Neodiprion lecontei: one gene and its partner. The protein of the gene in region 1 interacts with the protein of each later gene in a pairwise test. Links are inferred from orthologs where the notes say so. Each region holds a gene or a part of one and is shown on either strand. Other genes may lie near its edges.

Region 1 (3,929 bases):
CTGAAAGAAATTCTTTGATATCAACACATAACTAACCAAAAGTCATGAGTGCAGGGGTTTGACCAACCTCTACTTGCCATAATATCCACTTGTAACAAATTACAGCCGCAGGATAATTCTTCCAAGTATCCTTGAAGAGCTTTGGCCTAAGAACGAGGAGCACTGCCTCAATTACGCCACTGCCATCCACACTAGATCCCTCGCCTCCCTTTCCGACTAATAGCTCGGACATGGATCGACACTTGCAGAGATCGCAGAGGTTAGATTGAATGGAGCTGACTATGGACACCGACTCTGCGGTGTTCCACACGTTCTTCTCGCTCTGTTCGCCGATGATGATAATCAAGTTTATCAGGTAAGTGCGAAGGGGGTGACTCCGCGATGCAGTTTCCCTGACGTTTTGCTCCCCAAAAGTCGTTGCTACGTGACGAAGCGTAGCCTCCACATTCCGCAAATTTCTGTTTACGATCTGCCTGTACTCACTGTAATCCTTTTCTTCGCAGGGTCGTTCATTTCCAATTTTTTTACACGGTACCAACGTGCCCTCGGTCAGCTGAACGCAACTTCTCCATAAATCGTCGTTTAATGTGTTGCCAGTTATCTTCATCGACTCCAATTCACGGAGCAGGTCGTTCATCATAGAGCGGATCGGTTTCCTAGAAATTACAAGATTGCGGCAGCGCCCTGGAGGACTATAAAAAAAGAGTTTGACCGCTCCTCTATCTGTTAACCTTAAAATTTGATTCAAGATTTTCTACCATCCCGCACAACGCATATCGCAGGGACAGAGTCGATCAGCGAGGCGCGATCGTCCGATTTTCGATTTTCGAGTTATGTTTCGAGGGCCGATCGGTCGAACATAGACCGTAGACCATGCTTAATACGGATGTTGGATCATTGAGCATAGACTATAAACGGGATTCACTAAATTCGGTTCCTACGCTACGGTAGTGCTGCATAGTGAGCATCGGTTGATTATTTGATTTTTGATAATACTCTCTGGTTAATATATTGATTGAGAATATCGGTAAATATGAATTAATGCAACCAGCAGTAGTAGCTGTTTGTTGATAATGGCTGAGTACCGTTAGTTTATTTTCTAAATATTTTTCTTAGCTACTTTTTCCTACGTCAGTTCCACAGTATCCGCGCTGTCGTTTGCTTTTGACGTGAGGCACACGCATTGTCACGCCCATCTTGATTGTAACCACACTGACACGTATCTTGTAATTGCTCACTTCACCCTGTTTGACCGCGACTCTATTCGTAAGCACCATTTTCGACACCATTCTCTTCCTAATTAATATTCATCACCTATCAATATTCGTTTTAGGCCGAGAGATTGTCTCTGTATTGTTGAATTCACTTGCTCCTAAAAAATTCTCGCATGTTCAAAACAGCAATAATAAACATTCTTTCCCATTTACCTATCACTTGTTATCAATAACTACAGTTTACTCGCATCCTCTCTTCACAGTAATTGCAATTATTCATTAAGAATTGAATCTTTTTGCAGACCTGAAATTGTCACACAGCTATGCTTTGCCTATCTTACAAATGTTTTGTAATTAATTAGAGAAACAGGCTTAACCTTCTCAATTAATAATTAACTAGCAACAAATCTAACTAAGGGTTAAGAATAGTATTGGTCTTATATAGTTTGTTGCGATGCGAAGTTATCAGAAATTCTGAGCCTATCAAAGAGTTACGGTTCCTTTTTTTTTTGGCAACCCTGTATGTGCATCCAAATATACTCATTATTTTTTAATAGAAAAATAGGCGATCAACACTGACTGATTTTTTAATTTATTGCAGGCAGTTCAGACTCGTATCGTGTGTCTTCAGGAGTGGGAAGCGATTCTGAAGTAATGGCAGAATTAGCGGCACTTTTGCGCCATGAAATCCCCGATGGGAGAAGCCACCTGGCCGATAGTCACACAAATTTGGAGCGAGTAGCAGAGTATTGCGAGGCAAATTATTTCCAAGCCGAGAACAAACGGCTAGCTCTTGAAGAAACTAAAAATTACACAACTCAGTCACTTGCCAGTGTTGCATATCAAATAAACACGCTGGCTTATAACTTTCTGCAGTTGTTGGATCTACAGACTTCGCAACTTGCGGAAATGGAAAGTCAGATGAACCACATTGCTCAGACAGTTATGATTCACAAGGAAAAGGTTGCCAGAAGGGAAATAGGTGTTCTTACTGCGAACAAAATGACCACGAGACAGTATAAGATTATTGCACCGGCAAATCCTGAAAAACCTATAAAATATGTAAGGAAAAGCATTGATTACACCATCTTGGATGAGATTGGTCATGGTGTACGAAGCGGAGGTACTCCTAGAAGCAAACAGCGTGGGGGGAGCCAGGGCAGTGTACAAAGTCTCGGTGCCGCTTCGACTGGTTCTGGTTTAGGTGCAGTCATTGTGGGTCCAGCACCTACTACGAAGCCACCAACTCCACCACAAACAGTCCGAACAGGTAATCAGTTCGTTTTAATAACAGAGATGTAGCCATTGAATAGCTAAACCAAATAGTTTTAGAATTCAAAATATTTTCTAAATATTTTTGATCAACTTTCTATTGGCACTTATTGTTTTCAGGAACACTGAGTAAGGGCTCCCGTGAGTACAGAACACCACCCGCAGTGGCTCCACCCCAAGTTCCCAGTCACTATGCACCCAATTACCCCTTAGGTCATCCTAGACGGGAACGAGGACCCGGTTATAGTACATTGCCACTCCACGCTCATACCACCCCGCATCCCTCTCATGGGCTTCAGCATACAGCTCATACTGCTACTCTTACTCAACACACTCTACCTCCCCAAGTTGGAACTGTTCATCCACTTCAAAGCCATCCGCAAACTCCACCTCCCGCTCCACCCAGTATCACTGGAGCTGCAGGCTATGTCCAAGAACATCTCAACAGCATGCCACGTAAGTAGGTTTATAATTCTCTTAATGACTTAAATAATTTAACTTCGAGCTCTAACGTCAGGTATTGATCCATATGTTGTATTGTCACTACTAAACTATGCTATATGTAATGCAAGTATGATTTACTCGCCTTTTTTTGACTGCGTTCCAAACTTAAAGTACAAGAACAAAGCAGTTTGATGTTCTAGTACTCAAAAGTGCATTTTGGTGTACTTTATGATAACAATCTATGCGCAAGCGATATACTTGGTATATAAAGTATCGTGTGCATCTTATATTGTAAACTTACACTCAGCGTAAATGGACCCACTTTACCTACTTGATGCACAATGTACTATTGTTTGTCAATGAATGATTAATACGATAAAAATTTTTGGCATGATTTCTCAGAAAATAGTAATTGTCAGTTGTGTATTGTCACAGCCTTCCCTGGCTTGTGTTTCGCGAGTTCTGTTGGCTTGTATGGCCAGAACAACAGAAACAGTGATAAAATAGTTTCCTGCACACATTCTCTGATTTTGCTTAATAATTAAATGCAGATTAACTTGCAGATGATCTGCATATCATGTTTTTTTTTATCTTACAGCACCTCCCTCGCCGCTAGTTGGCTCTGGGGGTGAAATGACTAATTACAGTGGTCACCATACTCTGCCGCATCGACTATCTCATCAAGTTAGCCGCAGCAGTGGAGCAAGCAGCCCTCCATTGCCTCCACCGCCACCCCCTGAACACGACGAACATTCTCAATTTGGAAGACCACAGCAACCATCTGGTGCTATTATGCCGATTGTGCCAGATGAGGAAGACTTACCTGGATGGGTACCAAAGAACTATATTGAGAAAGGTATAAATTATAAAACCGAATACTCAGTTACGTTAATCAGTTTTATCCCCGTTTTATGATTGGAATGTAGGAGGTTCGTTTTGTCTTGTTCCAGTGGTGGCCATTTATGATTATTATGCCGATAAAGAAGATGAATTGAGCTT
Region 2 (3,929 bases), on another chromosome or scaffold:
CGTAAGGTGCATGGAGCTGTGGCTTGAAACTTTAACACGCTAAGGCCCGGCAGCTGAGAACCCATCCCTATAACGCAGAACTTGCATGGAAACTATATTCAGATTTATTGCAGTAGGCTTAGAAATCGATCTTGCTGCTCATGAATAATAATATTTATTTCTGCAACCAGTATTCTCTCAGCACCATCACAACACATATGACGGACCTGTACGTTGCCAGAAGGGTTTTACTTCAACATCTTTTTCGTGTCTCTGAAATTCATTTAGGGAAATAGCAAAAATAATTTCACCTCAATGGAGTGCGTATATTTTTTTCTCAAGCTTTTCATTCTTCACATCTTTGTATAAAGATTCATTCATCTAATTTTTGTACATAACAATGCCAATAAGATTTTTCAACGGATGTTCTTGTGATTCCTAAAAACCCTTTCCTCGATTCGTTTCTATTTTATGTCCGAGTATTTCAATCACGTTTTGGTATGAACATTCTGGTGAATTTTTGATTTTTTTTTTTATTATTGTCATAAAATATTATTCACTTTTTTCACACCAGCTACTGAAATCTTAAAGCCAGCGTGCGGCGTGGCGGAACAACGGGATAGAAGATCCTCTTGTGTACAGACAACTGACCACATCGACCAAGCTTTAAAGACCAGTTAGAAACGAGTCAGTGAACAACAGTAGTGCTATGTGTACAATGGAAACTTAAACCCGCTCAATATTTGTGTGCGAAAGTAAACAATTAATAATTACAAGCTTTGTTGAGAACGCATGGACTCGAATCCAGTTACAAGACAAACTTCTGATTGCGAACTTATGGAAGTAATGTGAATTGCCTATGCTCAGGCGGATACTATTTCACTGCGAGTTCATAAGGCGGAAAAATACGTAAAGATGTAGCATATCCACAGTTACATAACAATACTCTGTGATACGCCGTAATATGGAATTGCACTGTGCACTTTTTGACGCGTGATGGATTTTGTCTTCAAAATACTCTCATTAACGTATTCGGTATGGTCATATGGTTTGCCCCTTCTCTCGGTTGGTAAAAGCGATTCATACCGACTGCCTGCGCGAGATTGAGGAACCTAGTGAGGAATATTTCCCCACACAGCAGTTGGATGCAGTGAACAAGAGAGCGCCGCAGCTGAGTTTAAGGACTGATAACTTAAAGTGGTGAGTAAGTTTACACATCGATGTGTAGTGGGTGTTAATAATTTTGTGACAATGTTGCAATGAAATGATAAATTTGGTAAGAAAACATTTCACTTCGTTGTACAACCGTCAAAAAAGCTCACTCGAGTTAGTATAATCGATCAGTTATATTTCAGAAATCGCTGTGCGCCGAAATTACGTTGGAAATCCTGTCAAGCCTACAAGCTACCCCTGGGTGGGGTCTCCTGTCATCCGGAAACACAGTTGACACTTGGTTCAATAAATTATGAGGCGATTCTACTGATTCACCGCCGTTCATTGACAAGCAGGCCACGAATATGGCGCGACCAATTATTCCTAGCCAGCAGAAGCTGGCTGAGAAACTGGCTATATTGAACGACAGAGGCACCGGTATGCTTACTCGTATTTACAACATAAAAAAAGCATGCGGCGATGCCAAATCCAAGCCTGCGTTTCTGTCCGACAAAACGTTGGAGTCTGCGATTAAATACATAATCCGAAGATTTCCCAATATCGACATCAAGGGACTGGCTGCGATAACGAACCTTCGCACCGAGATTATCAAGTCTCTGTCCCTCTACTACTACACCTTTGTTGACCTTCTTGACTTCAAGGACAACGTCTGTGAACTGCTGACTACGATGGACGCTTGCGGAGTTCACATGGACATAACGATAAATTTTGACGTGACAAAGGGCTACCTGGACCTGGTAATCACCTACGTAAGCCTGATGATACTTCTGTCCAGAGTTGAGGATCGAAAAGCTGTCTTAGGCCTGTTCAACGCGGCCCACGAAATGGTCCACAGCCAGTCAGATCCCAGCTTTCCGAGACTAGGCCAGATGATCATGGACTACGATGCGCCGCTCAAGAAATTGTCCGAAGAGTTTGTGCCGCATGGTAAATTACTGATAAATGCGCTGATGTCGCTGTGGCCAATTTACCCTGGAAGAAATTTATCGGCAGACACATGGAGAGCCGACAAGAAACTTAGCCTCGTCGGTAGTCCAGGGCAGCTGCTTAAAGCTGCCGTTACGGACACGATGTCCTGTGAAACGTTGAGCTTAGATAGATTAGAAAGATGGGTTGTCCTCGGTTTCACTCTTTGTCACACGGTCCTCAACCAGGAGCAACCCAGTAAACTATGGACCACCGCCCTCGAATCAGGATGGGTTTTAGCTCTGTTTAGAGACGAAGTCATATATATTCACCAATACATTCAGTCGTTTTTTGAAAGCATGAAAGGGTACAGCAAGAGAGTATCTGAAGTGAAGGACTGCTACAGTCAAGCCATTCAGAAAGCTGGACACAGGCATCGAGAAAGGCGAAAATTTTTGAGAACAGCCCTGAAGGAGTTGGGGCTGATATTATCCGATCATCCAGGGCTCTTGGGCCCAAAAGCTCTGCTAGTGTTCATGGGATTATCTCATGCCCGAGACGAGGTGCTGTGGCTCTTGAGACACGGTGACAATCCACCTATTCAGGGAAAAGGAAAGGGTCGTGGAGGCGATGACCTCGTCGACAGGCAGCTCCCTGAACTCTTGTTTCACTGCGAGGAATTGCGCGCTCTTGTTAGAAAGTATTCCCAAGTCCTGCAACGATATTACGTCCAATTTTTGGCTGGATTTGACGCACCAGCTCTGCATCAAATGATACAAAATTTGCCTGTGTGTCCTGAGGATGAAGGAGCCATTCTGAGCGACATGTGCTCTTCAATTGCGAGTTTAACAGTAAAACAGGTCGAGGATAACGAGTTGTTTGATTTTCGTGCATTCAGGCTTGACTGGTTTAGATTGCAGGCTTATATGTCGGTTGCAAAGTGCAATATGAATCTCGCGGATAACAGGGAATTGGCTTCGTTTATGGACGGTATTATTTTTCACACCAAAATGGTTGACAATTTAGACGAGATGTTGGTGGAAACTTCCGATCTCTCGATATTTTGCTTTTACAGCAAGATATTCGAAGATCAATTTCACATGTGTTTAGAATTTCCTGCCCAGAATCGATACATTGTTGCTTTTCCATTGATGTGTAGCCATTTTCAAAGCTGTACGCATGAACTTTGCCCCGAAGAACGTCATCATATCAGAGAAAGAAGTCTGTCTGTTGTTAACATGTTTTTGGACGAAATGGCCAAAGAGGCTAAAAATATAATAACCATAATTTGCGACGAGCAGTGTACAATGTCAGATAAGCTTCTGCCTAAGCACTGTGCAGCGCAAATATCTCAAGTAGTGAATCGCAAGAAAAAAGATAAGAACAAGAAAAATATGTACGAGATTCATAAACCCGGTATTGAAAGCTACAGAAAAACGCGAGAAGACCTTACGACAATGGACAAACTTCACATGGCTCTAACAGAATTGTGTTTCGCAATAAATTCTTGCCCCACCATCAATGTGTGGGAATATACATTTGCTCCTAGGGAGTACTTACATCAACACTTGGAAACACGATTCGCCAAAGCTTTAGTTGGTATGGTGATGTTCAATCCGGATACTAGCGTCATTGCTAAACCATCAGAGTTATTTGTCAGCGTTAGAGCTTACATGAATGTATTGCAAACTGTCGAAAACTACGTTCACATCGATATAACTAGAGTTTTTAATAATGCTTTGTTGCAACAAACTCAACAGCTCGATAGCCACGGGGACAAAACTATAGCTTCGTTGTACATGCAGTGGTACTCCGAAGTGTTGTTGAGACGAGTAAGCGCAGGAAACATTTGCTATTCAGGAAATCAAAGA

The links.
Region 2: the proteins of abl interactor 2 (region 1) and membrane-associated protein Hem interact in a two-hybrid assay, tested with the Drosophila melanogaster proteins (2 studies listed by BioGRID). The link is inferred for Neodiprion lecontei from reciprocal best matches to the Drosophila melanogaster genes Abi and Hem.

What each region holds. Positions count from the first base shown.
Region 1 is NC_060263.1:285,466-289,394, forward strand, and holds the start of abl interactor 2, read left to right. Parts: upstream 1-925; 5' UTR 926-1,073; coding exon 1,074-1,086; exon of another isoform or gene 1,087-1,103; intron 1,104-1,130; exon of another isoform or gene 1,131-1,266; intron 1,267-1,815; coding exon 1,816-2,484; intron 2,485-2,606; coding exon 2,607-2,942; intron 2,943-3,528; coding exon 3,529-3,786; intron 3,787-3,880; coding exon 3,881-3,929. Other genes in the region: TELO2-interacting protein 2, read right to left, coding at 68-640.
Region 2 is NC_060262.1:26,028,357-26,032,285, reverse strand, and holds the start of membrane-associated protein Hem, read left to right. Parts: upstream 1-1,081; 5' UTR 1,082-1,179; exon of another isoform or gene 1,180-1,255; intron 1,256-1,323; exon of another isoform or gene 1,324-1,334; 5' UTR 1,335-1,496; coding exon 1,497-3,929. UniProt on the Drosophila melanogaster protein: Plays a role during growth of the oocyte.